4 linked regions of the Saccharomyces cerevisiae S288C genome follow. The protein of the gene in region 1 binds, or shares a complex with, the protein of each later gene. Each region holds a gene or a part of one and is shown in the gene's direction. Other genes may lie near its edges.

Region 1 (3,771 bases):
AAACTTCCTTCAATTGTTCTCAAAGGGGAATCACCCTAAATGCCTCTGTGTTACTTCATTCCACTACAAACAATGTGGGCAAGGCTACAATGGTGAGATTTGCTTCAAAATATCTTGGTATACATCTACTGGAGATAGATTGCCTTTCGCTCACTTCAAATTCAAGACAACTGGATTCAACATCTAAGATTATTGGTTACATTAGGGCTAAATGTGAAAATGTCCTACCGTACGCATCACCTGCTGTGATTTTTTTGGCTCATTTGGATTCAATTTTGCTTGACGTAAACGCTAATCAAGATCCAGAGGCAATCAAATTACAAAAATCTATAAACTTCGAAATGTCTAAACTTCTGGACGATTTTACGTTTAAATTCCCAGGAACTACATTTGTTGGCTCCGTAAATAACATAGATAACGTGCCTTCCAGCTTTAGATCACATATGAGATTTGAGATTCTCGTACCCGTTCCGTCTGAAGCACAGAGACTGCGTATCTTTCAGTGGTACTTATCTTCACATGAACTAAACAGAGATGTTCAACAAAAGGTTCCAGTATCTTACATGGATAATATTTCATTTTCATCACTCTCTTCATATTCTGCTGGTTTAACTCCTTTAGACATCAAATCAATTGTGGAAACGGCACGAATGACGGCTACTGCGCGTTTTTACCAAGAATCAAAGAAGTGTGGATGGCTTCCGCAATCAATTTTGATCACTCAGGAGGATTTATCAAAAGCTACTTCGAAAGCTAGGAACGAATTCTCGGTTTCGATTGGTGCCCCACAAATCCCTAACGTAACTTGGGATGATATAGGTGGTATTGATTTTGTTAAAGGTGAAATATTGGACACAATAGACATGCCGCTAAAACATCCTGAATTATTTACCTCAGGTATGAAAAAGAGAAGCGGTATTCTTTTTTATGGTCCACCGGGTACAGGTAAAACTCTAATGGCTAAGGCCATTGCAACAAATTTTTCTTTAAATTTTTTTAGTGTTAAAGGCCCTGAACTGTTGAATATGTACATTGGTGAGAGTGAAGCTAATGTGCGCAGAGTGTTTCAAAAGGCGAGAGAGGCTAAACCTTGTGTCATATTTTTCGATGAAATCGATTCAGTAGCACCCAAACGTGGTAATCAAGGTGATTCGGGTGGTGTTATGGATCGTATCGTTTCACAGTTACTAGCAGAGTTAGATGGTATGAGTACCGACGCTGACGGTGTATTTGTTATCGGAGCAACAAACAGACCAGACTTATTGGACGAAGCACTACTAAGACCAGGACGATTCGATAAATTGTTATATTTAGGCATTCCGGATACGGATACCAAACAATTGAATATTTTAGAGGCTCTGACTCGCAAATTCGTGCTCGACAACGACGTAAAGCTTATTGAGTTGGCAAAGCTATGTCCATTTAATTACACCGGGGCAGATTTTTATGCTCTCTGCTCAGATGCAATGCTTAACGCCATGTCAAGAATTGCACGCATGGTAGAAAAAAAAGTTTCTCAGCATAACGAATTGACGGGAGAGAATATTTCTACACGTCGCTGGTTTGATAAGATTGCGACAAAAGAGGATACTAAGGTTGTCGTAAAAATGGAAGACTTCTTGAAAGCACAAGAGCAGCTCACCCCAAGTGTGTCGCGGGCTGAACTGAATCATTATGAAGCGGTGAGAGCTAATTTTGAAGGTGCTTAAGTAATATCAACTCAGAGCGTATAGGTAAATTTGTAAATATATGTCCCATATTTTGCCTTGAAATTTATCTTTTTATTTACTTACCCTCCCCGGCTCATAGTATCTATCGAAAGGGAAAAACAGAAAAGATACTAGTAGTTGATTATACATAATAAAAATTTGAAGTAATAACCATAAAGGTTCATAAAACAATTGCGCCATACAAAACATTCGTGGCTACAACTCGATATCCGTGCAGATGGTATATGAAGCAACACCTTTTGATCCGATCACGGTCAAGCCAAGCGATAAAAGACGCGTTGCATATTTTTACGATGCAGACGTTGGGAACTATGCATATGGAGCAGGTCACCCGATGAAGCCGCATAGAATAAGAATGGCACATTCCCTTATTATGAATTATGGCTTGTACAAGAAGATGGAAATTTACAGAGCTAAGCCGGCAACGAAACAAGAAATGTGTCAGTTCCATACTGATGAATACATTGATTTTTTATCGAGGGTTACTCCAGATAATTTAGAAATGTTTAAAAGAGAAAGTGTCAAGTTTAATGTCGGAGATGATTGTCCTGTCTTTGATGGGCTCTATGAGTACTGTAGCATATCTGGTGGTGGCTCTATGGAAGGAGCTGCTCGTCTGAATAGAGGCAAATGTGATGTTGCTGTCAACTATGCGGGTGGTTTGCATCATGCAAAAAAATCGGAAGCTTCTGGGTTTTGTTATTTAAATGACATAGTACTGGGCATTATTGAGCTACTACGATACCACCCCAGAGTTCTGTATATTGATATTGATGTGCACCATGGTGATGGTGTAGAGGAAGCGTTTTATACAACGGATCGTGTCATGACATGTTCTTTCCACAAATATGGTGAGTTTTTCCCTGGCACAGGTGAACTGAGAGATATAGGGGTGGGTGCAGGAAAAAACTACGCGGTCAATGTGCCATTAAGAGACGGTATTGACGATGCTACGTATAGATCTGTGTTTGAACCTGTGATAAAAAAAATTATGGAATGGTATCAACCTTCTGCTGTCGTGTTACAGTGTGGTGGGGACTCCTTGTCCGGCGATCGTCTTGGTTGCTTTAATCTTTCCATGGAAGGCCATGCTAATTGTGTAAACTATGTGAAATCCTTTGGGATCCCAATGATGGTTGTTGGTGGAGGAGGCTATACTATGAGAAATGTTGCAAGGACATGGTGCTTTGAAACAGGTCTACTAAATAACGTTGTCTTGGATAAAGATTTACCGTACAATGAATATTACGAATATTACGGTCCAGATTATAAGTTAAGTGTTAGACCTTCGAATATGTTCAATGTAAATACTCCCGAATATCTTGACAAGGTAATGACCAATATATTTGCTAATTTGGAAAACACAAAGTATGCCCCTAGTGTTCAGTTGAATCACACACCTAGGGATGCCGAAGATTTGGGTGATGTTGAAGAAGATTCTGCCGAGGCTAAAGATACGAAGGGTGGTTCGCAATATGCGAGGGACCTACATGTTGAGCATGACAATGAATTCTATTGAAAAAAAGAGTTGGAAGTATATACGAATATAAATAATGTGAAACAAAAGAAGAAAAGTGAATAAAAGGCACTTAAGACGCTATCCAATTGTGTATGAGAAGTGCAAACTCAATTTTTTTGCAAAAGACTTTTCTCAAACCTTTAATTGATGCGTTCCGTTCATACATCAACCGCGTCCCATACGTTTCGAAGAAAATTGCCTATATGTGTTATTTACATACTAGAGATATTTTAATATTGAAACAGTTGTATTTCTATTGTAATTACTATCTAAACGTCTCGTCCCACCGCTGTTGATAAAGCGGTGCCAATATAATTTATAATCACGCCTGGGTAAATGACTTTTAATTTCTTAAATCATCGAAGTATGCGAAAACAAGAAGTCTTTATTCATAATAAAAAACAAATTCGGTTACTACGACTTTTATATGTCATTCAATATTTGGTAATAATTTTACAGTATTAACCCTATCCTCATCTGATTCACTCTCTTCTAATTGCATATATTTTCAAATTCGCTTTC
Region 2 (6,736 bases), on another chromosome or scaffold:
GCATCAGCAATAGTCATTTTTACGCGTTTCAAGTTTCGAGCTCTGCCCTCCCTTTAGATTTTTTTTATTTGCTGTTTTAATACTATAAGAATAGGACTCAGGTAATTAGAGTAACAGAGAAAACAAAAAAGAATATTGCGCTCGTGTTAGTGTTGAAACAAAAAAATACAGTTGTTCTTTACGTGCATCGATCATATAAGAAAAGGGAAAAAAGCCGTAAAGTAAAAAAATAAAGAGCTTTCCATGGCTGGTTTTTTTTCTTTTTTTTTTTTTTTTTTGAAGACTACAGCAGGTATTACCCGGAGTGAAAAAGGTTTCTCACACTAAAATTTACGTGTTCAAGACATTGAAGTTATGTATAAATATATATGAGCGTATATTATGTGTATGTCCGTTTCCATTCTGTTTAGATTTTATGGCTATAGTATTAAACTCCTATATATCAAAATGCGTCGTCGGCGGCTAGAGTTTGCAGGTTCCACTCGGTTTCGAAATTTGTCTTCAGGGCGCCAAGCTTGTTAATGATGCTGTTACAGGCGTTTTTCAAGGCATCCTTCGGGTCGTAGCCCTCGGTGGTCTGTATTCTCAGCTTGAAACGAGCGAAGAAGGGATGCTCAACCTTGTAAGCGGCAAACAGCACTTTTCTGTCGTTCAGAAGTTCTGCACGAATCAGGTTTCCCAACGTGTGGTCCTCCTTCTCAAACGTTATCACTACTGCGTTGGGGGCTTTGGTGTCGGGGTCAATCTTTAGCTTGGATTCCCCTTCACCCAGAAGGAACAGTTCGAATCTGTCTGGAGCATTCATGATGCAGTTGTGTCCAAATGTATCTGGTTTGGTGGCTACGTAGCTATCTATTTAGGCTGCACGGCTCAGTTCTCTCGCTCTTCTTTTAACGGACCTCTTGTGTGTGCCAAAGCAGTGAACCTAGAATTTTCGCGGACACTTCCACTTTATTAAGTCCGGGTAATGATAATATTGAGCTTGCAAGTTTTTTGAACTCGGATAGCAGCATTATCCATGACATGACACGGATCTACCGACGAGGCTTACCGACGAGGCTTACCGACGAGGCTTACCGTGATCCCTCTCCAGTAGTCTGTAAATTCTGTTTATAATTTAAAAAATCTATCTTCTACTCCAGTCTTGTAACTACTGTTGTTACGCGCTGCCCAGAGTGTGGCACACACTGCGGGGTTACCCGTGTAACGTAGAATAAACCAGTACGGGTAATGATATCGGATTTTCTAGTGATTTTTTTCCATTCGCAAAAAAGTCGCCTTCATTTTGCAGTTCTTCAGCAAACGTGATTTGCAAAACAACGGTTACTCCCCTTCCCTATTACATTTGTCTTCCCTTTTTCGCACCAGCATTGCTAATATTCGAGGCACCGTACCTAACTAATCAGCTCATTCACGTACCACATATTCTTTGTTACTTCCCTCCCTCCACAACAGGCTACGCTATTGACCGCTTTCAGTATAGTCTCTTTACCCTTTTGTTGTGTTCGTTTGAGGTTATTTGGAAAAGGACAAAATATCTAAGAAACAAGTTATACATTGTACAAAAATGTCACAGGTTTGGCATAATTCGAATTCGCAATCAAACGATGTGGCTACTTCAAATGACGCTACGGGTTCCAACGAAAGAAACGAAAAAGAACCGTCCCTCCAGGGAAATAAGCCCGGTTTTGTTCAACAGCAGCAACGGATTACTTTACCCTCGCTATCTGCCTTGAGTACTAAGGAGGAAGATAGAAGAGATTCCAATGGCCAACAGGCTCTAACTTCTCATGCTGCTCACATATTAGGTTATCCTCCCCCACATTCAAATGCTATGCCCTCAATTGCAACTGATTCAGCATTGAAACAGCCCCACGAGTATCACCCTCGCCCTAAATCTTCGTCCTCTTCTCCCTCTATAAACGCTTCGCTTATGAATGCTGGTCCAGCTCCCCTCCCCACAGTGGGAGCCGCCAGTTTTTCTTTGTCGAGATTTGACAATCCATTACCGATAAAAGCTCCTGTTCATACAGAGGAACCAAAAAGTTATAATGGTCTTCAGGAAGAAGAAAAGGCGACGCAACGGCCTCAAGATTGCAAGGAAGTTCCCGCTGGTGTGCAGCCTGCTGATGCCCCTGACCCTAGCAGCAACCATGCAGATGCTAACGATGACAATAATAACAACGAAAATTCTCACGATGAAGATGCTGACTACAGACCTCTAAACGTGAAGGATGCCCTATCTTACCTCGAACAGGTCAAATTTCAATTTAGTTCGCGTCCGGATATCTATAATTTATTTTTAGATATTATGAAGGACTTTAAATCTCAGGCAATAGACACACCGGGCGTTATTGAAAGAGTATCCACTTTGTTCAGAGGTTATCCAATTTTGATTCAAGGGTTCAATACTTTTCTACCCCAAGGCTATAGAATCGAATGCTCCTCTAATCCGGACGACCCCATTAGAGTTACTACACCAATGGGTACTACGACAGTAAACAATAACATCAGTCCATCTGGTAGAGGTACAACGGATGCACAGGAACTTGGTTCTTTTCCAGAAAGCGATGGAAATGGTGTTCAACAGCCCTCCAATGTGCCAATGGTGCCTTCGAGTGTGTATCAATCGGAACAAAACCAAGACCAACAACAATCTTTGCCTCTTTTAGCTACTTCTTCTGGTTTACCTTCAATTCAACAACCTGAAATGCCTGCACATCGCCAAATCCCACAAAGTCAATCTTTAGTGCCTCAAGAAGATGCTAAGAAAAACGTTGATGTCGAATTTAGTCAAGCCATAAGCTACGTTAATAAAATTAAAACTAGATTTGCCGACCAACCTGATATTTACAAGCATTTTCTGGAAATACTACAAACTTATCAGCGAGAGCAAAAGCCAATAAACGAAGTCTACGCACAAGTGACGCATCTTTTCCAAAATGCTCCTGATTTACTAGAAGATTTCAAGAAATTCTTGCCGGACTCTTCAGCTTCTGCCAATCAGCAGGTGCAACATGCTCAGCAACATGCTCAACAACAACATGAGGCCCAAATGCATGCACAGGCACAAGCTCAGGCTCAGGCACAGGCACAGGTGGAACAACAGAAGCAGCAACAGCAATTCTTGTATCCAGCTTCGGGCTATTACGGCCATCCTTCTAACCGAGGTATTCCACAGCAAAACTTGCCTCCTATAGGAAGCTTCTCGCCTCCAACAAACGGTTCGACCGTACATGAAGCCTATCAGGATCAACAGCACATGCAACCACCCCACTTCATGCCCTTACCATCGATCGTTCAACACGGGCCAAATATGGTACATCAAGGGATAGCGAATGAAAATCCACCTCTATCAGATCTAAGAACGTCTCTCACTGAACAGTACGCTCCTTCTAGTATACAACATCAGCAGCAGCACCCGCAAAGTATTAGTCCTATAGCAAATACGCAGTATGGTGATATCCCTGTTAGACCGGAAATTGATTTAGATCCTAGCATTGTGCCTGTGGTCCCTGAACCCACTGAGCCCATCGAAAACAATATATCGCTTAATGAGGAAGTCACTTTCTTCGAAAAGGCCAAGAGGTATATCGGCAATAAACATTTATACACTGAGTTTTTGAAAATTTTAAATTTGTACTCTCAAGATATACTTGATCTTGACGATTTAGTGGAAAAGGTAGATTTCTACTTGGGTTCCAATAAAGAACTATTTACGTGGTTCAAAAACTTTGTTGGCTACCAAGAAAAAACCAAATGTATCGAGAATATTGTTCATGAAAAACATAGATTGGATTTAGATTTATGTGAGGCATTTGGCCCAAGTTACAAGAGGCTACCAAAAAGTGACACTTTCATGCCATGCTCAGGTAGGGATGATATGTGTTGGGAAGTCTTGAACGATGAATGGGTTGGACATCCTGTATGGGCTTCCGAAGATTCGGGATTTATTGCTCATCGTAAAAACCAGTATGAGGAAACACTATTCAAGATCGAAGAGGAAAGACATGAGTATGATTTTTACATTGAATCAAATTTAAGAACTATTCAATGTTTGGAAACAATTGTAAATAAGATCGAGAACATGACTGAGAATGAAAAAGCCAATTTTAAACTGCCTCCAGGTCTTGGCCATACTTCAATGACTATTTATAAAAAAGTGATAAGGAAAGTTTATGATAAGGAAAGGGGGTTCGAGATTATTGATGCTTTGCATGAGCACCCTGCAGTGACAGCCCCAGTCGTTCTGAAAAGGTTAAAGCAAAAAGACGAAGAATGGAGAAGAGCTCAACGTGAATGGAATAAAGTTTGGAGGGAGTTAGAACAGAAGGTTTTTTTCAAGTCATTAGATCATTTAGGCTTAACATTTAAACAGGCTGACAAGAAATTATTAACTACAAAGCAGTTGATATCAGAGATTAGCAGCATCAAAGTTGATCAAACAAACAAAAAAATTCACTGGTTAACTCCTAAACCAAAGAGCCAGTTAGATTTTGATTTCCCTGATAAAAACATTTTCTATGATATCTTGTGTTTGGCTGACACTTTTATAACCCATACCACAGCCTATTCTAATCCCGATAAAGAAAGATTGAAAGATTTACTAAAATACTTCATCTCTTTGTTTTTTTCTATTTCTTTCGAAAAAATCGAAGAATCGTTGTACTCCCATAAGCAAAACGTGTCAGAATCTAGCGGATCTGACGATGGCAGTTCTATTGCATCAAGGAAGAGGCCCTATCAACAAGAAATGAGTTTACTTGATATTTTACACAGGAGCAGATATCAAAAGCTAAAGCGTTCTAATGATGAAGATGGCAAAGTTCCCCAGCTCTCTGAACCACCCGAAGAAGAACCTAATACCATTGAGGAGGAAGAGCTCATCGATGAAGAAGCTAAAAATCCGTGGCTAACTGGGAATTTAGTGGAGGAAGCAAACTCTCAGGGTATTATCCAAAATCGCAGTATTTTTAATCTATTCGCTAATACGAATATTTACATATTTTTCCGTCATTGGACAACGATTTATGAGCGGCTTTTGGAAATTAAGCAAATGAATGAAAGGGTCACAAAGGAAATCAACACAAGGTCGACAGTTACTTTTGCCAAAGATCTAGATTTATTATCGAGTCAACTTTCCGAAATGGGACTAGATTTTGTTGGTGAAGACGCGTACAAACAGGTTTTAAGACTGAGTAGAAGGTTGATTAATGGGGATCTTGAACATCAGTGGTTTGAAGAGAGTTTGCGGCAAGCTTACAATAACAAAGCGTTTAAACTCTATACAATTGATAAAGTCACCCAATCGTTGGTAAAGCATGCTCATACCTTGATGACTGACGCTAAAACTGCGGAAATAATGGCTTTGTTCGTTAAAGATAGAAATGCCTCCACCACGAGTGCGAAGGACCAAATTATCTATCGCTTGCAGGTGCGCTCACATATGTCCAACACAGAAAATATGTTTAGAATAGAGTTTGATAAAAGAACTCTGCATGTTTCCATTCAATATATTGCACTTGATGATTTGACACTAAAGGAACCAAAGGCAGACGAAGATAAATGGAAATATTATGTAACATCGTATGCTCTGCCACATCCAACAGAAGGCATTCCGCACGAGAAACTGAAGATACCATTTTTGGAAAGGCTCATCGAATTTGGACAAGATATTGATGGAACAGAGGTAGATGAGGAGTTTTCCCCCGAAGGCATCTCTGTATCGACATTGAAAATTAAGATCCAGCCTATAACCTACCAACTGCATATTGAAAACGGGTCTTACGATGTTTTTACCCGTAAGGCTACTAACAAATATCCTACTATTGCTAATGATAATACTCAAAAAGGAATGGTTTCTCAGAAGAAGGAGTTGATATCAAAATTTCTAGACTGTGCAGTTGGTTTGAGAAATAATTTAGATGAGGCTCAAAAATTAAGTATGCAAAAAAAATGGGAGAACCTAAAAGACAGCATAGCAAAGACGAGTGCTGGAAACCAGGGAATAGAGAGTGAAACCGAAAAAGGTAAAATTACGAAACAGGAGCAGTCGGATAATTTGGACAGCTCTACTGCAAGTGTACTGCCTGCATCCATTACTACTGTACCACAAGATGATAATATAGAAACGACTGGGAATACTGAATCTTCAGACAAGGGGGCTAAGATTCAATAAGTAGTTTTAACTAGATTTAGAACAAAAATCTTTAGTACGACAGGGTCTTTCTTCTGATGTGTACCTTTAATTAATGTCAACGATATAACATTGTAATTTTAAAATTCTAAGTGTTTTTGAAGCTTTTTAAGACACATCGATCTTTCCATAAAGGAAGAAGTGATAACATGCAGTGGTTATATTTGTGTACTCATACACTGGTGCATGAATCTTTTTACACGTCATTAGCATAGTATGTAATCGAAAGGACACTATTTATAAGGGACAGTTTATACATACATATACTTGATATTCCCATGAATGAGTATTCTATTCCATATCAACATCCACTCCAAAATCGTCTAGTGATTCACCCCAGTCGTTGTACCACTTCTCACGAGAAGCATGTCTGCCATTTTGAGGAAGTCTGGTCCTTATTAGCTGTTCGCCACTTTCATTACGCATCTCTATTGTTGAGCTGCCATGATTGAAGACGGTGTTTGTTTTACCTCCATCTGGTGGCCAGGGAAGTGAAAGGATGTGGTCTTCCAATGAGGAGTTAGCCTCATATTTTGAAAT
Region 3 (3,572 bases), on another chromosome or scaffold:
TAATCTTCTTCATGTGATGCTTTAAAATATCAGCACGACCACGAACATCTGGCAAATCCACATTCACAACCTTATCAAATCTACCTGGTCTAGTTAACGCCTTATCTAAAGCCTCAGGGAAATTTGTGGCACCAATAATAATAATTCCACTTGTTTGTGAGAAACCATCTAATTCGACCAATAACTGATTCAACGTTTGTTTGGCGTAAGCTTGGTCCTTTGGATTACGCTTACCACCGATGGCATCTAATTCATCAATAAAAATAATAGCTGGTGCACGAGAACGCGCTTGAGCAAACAAATCACGGATACGTTTAGCACCAACACCGACGTAAACTTCATCAAATTCAGAACCTGACATAAAGAAAAAATCTACACCAGCCTCTCCGGCAGTGGCCCTAGCCAACAAAGTTTTACCTGTACCAGGAGGTCCAGTCAACAGTACACCCTTTGGTAGTTTACCACCCAAGGACTCGTACTTAGTTGGATCTTTCAGGAAATCAACAATTTCTTCCAATTCCGCACGGGCCTCATCACAACCGCAGACATCATCAAATTTAACATTTGTCTTAGCTACATCAACTGATTTGTCGGCTACTTCTGACGACTTTAGTAGCGTTGTATTTTCTGTGATGTATTTAAAACCTTCAGAAAAAGAGTAGGTTAAGATACCGAAAACAAGCAGCCACTTTACCCATCTCGATACAACAGTAAAAGTTGATTCAGATACGACAACATGTAGTGGCTCTTTGCGAGATCCATAAAGCGGAGAATACATCGATGGAAAGTTACCATGATAACCTGACTGGTTTGATGAAGATGACGCCAATGATGGGTTAACTGCGCCAGCAGAGCTGGCTGTCAGTAGGTTTTGTCTAACGGCATCAGCCTCCGAGTGTCTGCCTATCCTCTGCAGGGCCTCCATGTACAGTTCCATGCATTCAGGCGATGACGCAATACCGGGGGTCTCAAACCTAGAGACCACGTATTGCGGGTAGTTTGATTGTAAGAGAAGTTTGTAAAAGGCTGCTTGTGCATCAGGACTCGTTAAGTCTTTATTGGCCTCTTGTTCTCTAGTTGCTAGCATAGCATGTGACACAGCTACGTTCGCTTGTTTGGTTTTATCATTAGTGTTCGATGGAGGTGGTGGTTGCGAATTGTCGATTGAAGATATCGTGGATTTATTGGATGCCTTTCCAGAGCTATCAGCTTCCTTCTTAGGAGGCATTTCACCGCTATTCTTTTCAGAATAAAAACGGTAGAACTTCTTTGATCTTAAGGCCCATTTTTTTTGAACTAACAAAGAAGCACCGATTTGAGGTAGCCTGGGAGCAAATATGCGTAAAACATTTGTCGTGACCGTGGGCGACACAAGTATTTTTGAAACGTTCATCTATCACGTCTCTGTTTTCGTTCTATCCACAATGTATTATAATTAAAAATTGCTTCAATAAAATCCTGTTTATCCTTTAAGCTGTGCTTGCTTTTTACTTATCAAAAACGCAAGGTAGAGATTTAACTCACTTCACCAACTCCGATATATTGCCTTTTCACTACCGCTACAGCGTACAGGAGCTACCACTCCTCGAAGAAAGAGGTACCATGTGATTCGAGATTACTAACCAACCGATGCTGATAGAAAAAGGTGGCGAAGATTGGGGGCCGTTCCTCCGGCGATCGCCACATATCGCATTTCACGAAAGATGAAAATAAAGATGCATCCGAAATCCCGACCAGAAACGTAAAAGGGTATATTGCAAAACAGTCGTTAAAAGCATATAGCATTTTGCATTAGCATCTGTGAGGCCTCGTCACTGGATTTACCCTATTGAAGAACGTATAATGGTTGATTTGGAGCAGGAATTTGCGCTCGGTGGGCGGTGTCTGGCATTCCATGGTCCTCTTATGTATGAAGCAAAGATCTTGAAAATATGGGATCCATCTTCGAAAATGTATACCAGCATTCCTAATGACAAGCCAGGTGGTAGTTCACAAGCAACTAAGGAAATAAAGCCACAAAAGCTGGGAGAAGATGAAAGCATTCCAGAAGAGATCATTAATGGGAAGTGTTTTTTCATACATTACCAAGGCTGGAAGTCGAGTTGGGATGAGTGGGTTGGATATGATAGGATACGGGCCTACAATGAAGAGAATATTGCCATGAAAAAAAGACTGGCGAACGAGGCGAAAGAAGCTAAGAAATCGTTACTGGAACAGCAGAAAAAAAAGAAGCTCTCCACTAGTCTGGGAGGGCCTAGTAATGGTGGAAAAAGAAAGGGAGACAGCCGCTCGAATGCTAGTATAAGTAAGAGCACTTCACAGAGTTTTTTAACATCTTCAGTGAGCGGCAGGAAAAGCGGAAGAAGTTCCGCTAATTCCCTCCATCCTGGCAGCTCTTTGCGCTCGTCATCCGACCAAAATGGGAATGATGACCGCAGAAGATCTTCTTCGCTATCGCCAAATATGCTACATCATATTGCCGGCTATCCAACCCCCAAGATTTCCCTTCAAATTCCCATAAAATTGAAGAGCGTGTTAGTCGACGATTGGGAATACGTAACGAAGGACAAAAAAATTTGCAGACTACCCGCTGATGTGACGGTAGAGATGGTACTGAATAAATACGAACATGAAGTGAGTCAAGAATTGGAATCGCCAGGGTCCCAGTCACAGTTGAGCGAATACTGTGCCGGTCTCAAGTTGTATTTTGACAAGTGCCTGGGTAATATGCTTTTATATAGGTTGGAACGGCTGCAATATGACGAACTTCTGAAAAAATCATCGAAGGATCAAAAGCCACTAGTACCAATTAGAATTTATGGGGCTATCCATCTGTTAAGGTTGATAAGTGTTTTACCAGAGCTGATCTCGTCTACTACAATGGATCTACAAAGCTGTCAGCTTTTAATCAAACAAACCGAAGACTTCTTGGTTTGGTTGTTGATGCATGTGGACGAATACTTCAATGACAAGGATCCAAATAGAAGTGACGATGCTCTGTATGTAAATACGTCTAGCCAATACGAAGGAGTGGCTTTAGGTATGTGAGACGTTTATATTCTAGCTTGGGATTATTTCTAGTATTTAGTTCTTCCGTATTTATGCAATAACTCTTCACAGAATATCTCGTGTAAGAATATGGACACTGTTCGTGGCACTTTACGAAATTCAAGTTTATTCTCTTTGCAAGGTTCTTAGGGTAATGGCAGCTCTGAAAGGGGCTTGTCGAGTTAAAACATCATTAATGATTATATTTTATTTTTGTTATTTTTCTGACGTATCCATCGTTTCGCATCTAGTATGAGCTTACTAAGAGCTTCGTATATAATGTACTATCATCTTCACTTACTCGTTTGCACACTACCAAGTTCTGTCCAGGGCTCCTTGTTTTATATTTTTAGTGTAATTGCATGGTCTATGCAACATGATTAAAGCAGCATCACACGCGCCATTATATAATCTAAAATAGTCCGTTGTCGTGCGCATTCTTCTGTGGCGCGTCTTATATGAGAAAAGGGTCTTTCGAAGTCATTAACCCTCTGACGCAGCAAAAAACAACTTTATGCAGGGTT
Region 4 (3,124 bases), on another chromosome or scaffold:
TTCCTCGACTGAAGGCCGCTGGGCAGTTGAGCCAGAAGAAACTGGGTTATTAGCTGGCGGAATACCAGAGTTTGCTGCATGAGTGGCATTGGCAGTCAGCTCTTCCAGGAATTGCTCTGAGGAAAGCATTTCCATCTCATTATGATAGTTAACTCCCGTAGCAGGAGAGCCCACATTGGCCCTTTGTAAGGGTTCACCGTTAATTTGCGCCTCCTGAGGTAAGCCAATATAATGAGAGCTTGCCGAAGTTACAGAACTGCTTCTTTCTTGCTTGTTGTTGCTCAATTCCTGGTTGTTGCAGTCTACCTTGATCATACTTGATTCAACCAGCTTAGCAGTATCCGAGTTGGTGACATCAGCCTCGAATTGAGGGGTATATGGTAAGAATAAAGAAGCGACGATAATAGTCATTGAGGTTGCCCGTGGTTATTAGTCTGTGGTTTTTTGAATAGGAAGCAATAAATTATAAAGCCAGGACCTGCAATAACGTTTGTACTGTTTTATTGTGATAAAAGATGAAGCGGAATAGCAACGGTACTTAAAACTTATGTCTTAGACTTAATACTATTGAATGTTTGCTCGTCCACTTGATGCTCCCTGGAGTTGCCGTTGCTGCGTGCTGAAGGGGATTAATTAATTCCAGGGGCACCGCGCGAAGCCCAGGAGGACAATTGATTACGTAGGGAAGAAAGGGCCCTTTTAGAAGACTGGCAATTGCAACTCTATCGAGGTTAGGTGTTACACTACGCTGTTCATTGAGGAAGTAGATGAATAAACTTGTTGATGCCCACTGTCATGTTATAACCGACCCAGACAACACATTCTGCGGTGATGATGGAGGGTCCCAGGGTACGTTGCGTTGCGTTATGTCATCAAACCCATATGACTGGAACAATTTGAAAAAATTGGCTGGCAGAAGCACAAGTAAAAACGATATATGCGTGGGATTTGGTGTGCATCCTTGGTACAGCCACTTATTTTATGTGGGAAGTCGGCGCGACAAGGTTTCTCACTATCAAGATGTACTGGAGTATAAGAATGAAGAACAGTTCGACAGTTTGGTTCAGGTGCTTCCCGAACCTCTAGATCTTGAAGAGTATATAAAAAGAGAGTTTAACGACACTTTGGTTAGTGTGATTGGAGAAATCGGTCTTGATAAGCTCTTCAGACTTCCTGCAAATGGTTTCTACATGCAGAACGAGAAGGCAAGGCTTACGACAGTGAAGGTCAAACTATCGCATCAAGAAACAGTATTCAGGCGATTTTGCCGACTGGCAAGGCACACAAGCAAGCCCATCTCTATACACGATGTAAAGTGCCACGGGAAACTAAACGATATCTGCAATGAAGAGCTCTTGACGTATCACTCTGTCAAGATATGTTTACATTCGTACACAGGCTCCAAGGAAACGCTTCTGGGCCAATGGCTCAAGAAGTTTCCCCCGGATCGTATTTTTGTGAGCCTATCCAAATGGATTAATTTTAAGGACCCAGAAGAGGGAGATGCCCTGGTCAGGAGCTTGCCCTCAACTTGCATACTTACTGAAACCGACTATCCTATTGACAATCCAGATCCGTCATACCAAAAGGCCCTTACAGAGCAGCTGCAGTATTTGAATGCACAAATCGCACGAGCATGGGACGAGACACTGGATGCCTCACAAGCCGCTTTGCGTGTATACGAAAACTTTCAGAAATTTATCAAGTGAAACGCTTTTGAGGTGGCAGCATAGCACTGTAATGAGATATATTAAGTAGGCTTGCTGTATACCATTTCTTGCTATGCATGTGTTTTAGCAAGGCAACGCCGTTCCGGAAGGGAAAAAGCGCTCTTTTTTATATACTGTGAAATTTTCAGATTTTAACTTAGAAATTATATAAAAGCGGTTGTGTATCTATTGTGATAATGCAATTCCTTTATAGTTTAGCAAATCGAAGGATAGGTATATACTGAGTAGTAATGGCTAGGCCAGTTAATACAAACGCTGAAACGGAATCGAGAGGCAGACCCACTCAGGGTGGTGGTTACGCAAGTAACAACAATGGCAGCTGTAACAACAACAATGGCAGCAATAATAACAATAATAACAATAATAATAATAATAATAACAGCAATAACAGCAATAACAATAACGGGCCTACCTCCAGCGGGAGAACCAATGGGAAGCAAAGACTCACAGCTGCACAACAGCAGTACATTAAGAATCTCATAGAGACACATATCACCGACAACCACCCTGATCTGCGCCCCAAGAGTCACCCAATGGATTTCGAAGAGTATACGGATGCGTTCCTGAGAAGGTATAAAGACCACTTTCAATTGGACGTACCGGACAACCTGACGCTGCAGGGATACTTATTGGGTTCCAAATTGGGCGCGAAGACTTATTCATACAAGAGGAACACACAGGGGCAGCACGATAAAAGGATACATAAGAGAGACCTGGCCAACGTGGTGAGAAGGCATTTCGATGAGCATTCCATTAAAGAGACAGATTGCATACCGCAATTTATATACAAGGTAAAAAACCAGAAGAAGAAATTCAAGATGGAATTTCGGGGTTGATCAAACGATGAGGCAGCCCTTTTGTGTATAAGTTATGTAAACTTTTAAGGTGGTAATTGTTAAAATGGACAGTAACACTTGTTTATTTGCTAGTATTCCATTTAGTTTAATGCCTTTTTGTATACGGTGCGGGTAGCTGTCGCGCCATTTTAAACGATCTAATATAACTGAGGTGGGCCTGTCATTGATGCATTGAATAGACAACTCATCAACCTATTTCTTATAAAAGGCGCCATAAAGCATTACAATCTACGATCGCGCAAACTTTTTTCTTTTGGCCATGGAGGATTCGAGATTGCTTATCACTTTGATTCTTGTGTTTGGAGTTATATTTCTGAAAAAATTCTTCCAAAGTAATCAGCATCCCTCAGCACAACGCTTATCCGCTACAGGTGTAAACGCACACGGACGTCCTCAGGGCTCCACGCAGAATGCCTTGAGAAGGACTGGTAGAGTCAATGGAGGTCACCCCGTGACTACTCAGATGGTGGAAACAGTGCAAAATCTAGCCCCTAACTTACATCCTGAGCAAATTAGGTATAGTTTGGAAAACACAGG

The links.
Region 2: the proteins of RPD3 (region 1) and SIN3 are in contact, whole or in part, in a cryo-EM structure (PDB 8HXX), measured with the Saccharomyces cerevisiae proteins. Residues at the interface, in NP_014069.1 of Saccharomyces cerevisiae: Asp26 (codon at 2,023), Ala27 (codon at 2,026), Asp28 (codon at 2,029), Gly30 (codon at 2,035), Asn31 (codon at 2,038), Tyr32 (codon at 2,041), Ala33 (codon at 2,044), Ala36 (codon at 2,053), Gly37 (codon at 2,056), His38 (codon at 2,059), Lys41 (codon at 2,068), His43 (codon at 2,074), Arg46 (codon at 2,083), Arg65 (codon at 2,140), Gln72 (codon at 2,161), Cys75 (codon at 2,170), Gln76 (codon at 2,173), Phe77 (codon at 2,176), His78 (codon at 2,179), Thr79 (codon at 2,182), Asp80 (codon at 2,185), Glu81 (codon at 2,188), Asp92 (codon at 2,221), Asp114 (codon at 2,287), Gly115 (codon at 2,290), Glu118 (codon at 2,299), Lys153 (codon at 2,404), Lys154 (codon at 2,407), Glu156 (codon at 2,413), Val167 (codon at 2,446); in NP_014639.1 of Saccharomyces cerevisiae: Cys748 (codon at 3,809), Glu749 (codon at 3,812), Ala750 (codon at 3,815), Phe751 (codon at 3,818), Gly752 (codon at 3,821), Pro753 (codon at 3,824), Ser754 (codon at 3,827), Tyr755 (codon at 3,830), Thr763 (codon at 3,854), Met765 (codon at 3,860), Pro766 (codon at 3,863), Cys767 (codon at 3,866), Ser768 (codon at 3,869), Gly769 (codon at 3,872), Arg770 (codon at 3,875), Asp771 (codon at 3,878), Met773 (codon at 3,884), Cys774 (codon at 3,887), Val777 (codon at 3,896), Leu778 (codon at 3,899), Asn779 (codon at 3,902), Asp780 (codon at 3,905), Trp782 (codon at 3,911), Val783 (codon at 3,914), Gly784 (codon at 3,917), His785 (codon at 3,920), Pro786 (codon at 3,923), Ala789 (codon at 3,932), Phe795 (codon at 3,950), Ile796 (codon at 3,953).
Region 3: the proteins of RPD3 (region 1) and EAF3 are in contact, whole or in part, in a cryo-EM structure (PDB 7YI3), measured with the Saccharomyces cerevisiae proteins. Residues at the interface, in NP_014069.1 of Saccharomyces cerevisiae: Arg99 (codon at 2,242), Val102 (codon at 2,251), Lys103 (codon at 2,254), Ser155 (codon at 2,410), Glu156 (codon at 2,413); in NP_015348.1 of Saccharomyces cerevisiae: Leu304 (codon at 2,752), Asp307 (codon at 2,761), Ser392 (codon at 3,016), Gln393 (codon at 3,019), Gly396 (codon at 3,028), Val397 (codon at 3,031), Met401 (codon at 3,043).
Region 4: RPD3 (region 1) and SAP30 share a complex: the UniProt entries of both Saccharomyces cerevisiae proteins name them as parts of the RPD3C(L) complex.

What each region holds. Positions count from the first base shown.
Region 1 is NC_001146.8:17,479-21,249, reverse strand, and holds RPD3 (histone deacetylase RPD3), read left to right. Parts: upstream 1-1,947; coding exon 1,948-3,249; downstream 3,250-3,771. Other genes in the region: PEX6 (AAA family ATPase peroxin 6), read left to right, coding at 1-1,709. UniProt on the Saccharomyces cerevisiae protein: Catalytic component of the RPD3 histone deacetylase (HDAC) complexes RPD3C(L) and RPD3C(S) responsible for the deacetylation of lysine residues on the N-terminal part of the core histones (H2A, H2B, H3 and H4).
Region 2 is NC_001147.6:315,371-322,106, forward strand, and holds SIN3 (transcriptional regulator SIN3), read left to right. Parts: upstream 1-1,567; coding exon 1,568-6,178; downstream 6,179-6,736. Other genes in the region: TOP1 (DNA topoisomerase 1), read right to left, coding at 1-17; DNA-directed RNA polymerase II core subunit RPB11, read right to left, coding at 443-805; palmitoyltransferase PFA4, read right to left, coding at 6,488-6,736. UniProt on the Saccharomyces cerevisiae protein: Catalytic component of the RPD3 histone deacetylase complexes RPD3C(L) and RPD3C(S) responsible for the deacetylation of lysine residues on the N-terminal part of the core histones (H2A, H2B, H3 and H4).
Region 3 is NC_001148.4:608,302-611,873, reverse strand, and holds EAF3 (Eaf3p), read left to right. Parts: upstream 1-1,842; coding exon 1,843-3,048; downstream 3,049-3,572. Other genes in the region: i-AAA protease YME1, read right to left, coding at 1-1,393. UniProt on the Saccharomyces cerevisiae protein: Component of the NuA4 histone acetyltransferase complex which is involved in transcriptional activation of selected genes principally by acetylation of nucleosomal histone H4 and H2A. The NuA4 complex is also involved in DNA repair.
Region 4 is NC_001145.3:792,959-796,082, forward strand, and holds SAP30 (Sap30p), read left to right. Parts: upstream 1-1,960; coding exon 1,961-2,566; downstream 2,567-3,124. Other genes in the region: TPS3 (trehalose 6-phosphate synthase/phosphatase complex subunit), read right to left, coding at 1-411; YMR262W (putative endodeoxyribonuclease), read left to right, coding at 768-1,709; CUE1 (Cue1p), read left to right, coding at 2,847-3,124. UniProt on the Saccharomyces cerevisiae protein: Component of the RPD3C(L) histone deacetylase complex (HDAC) responsible for the deacetylation of lysine residues on the N-terminal part of the core histones (H2A, H2B, H3 and H4).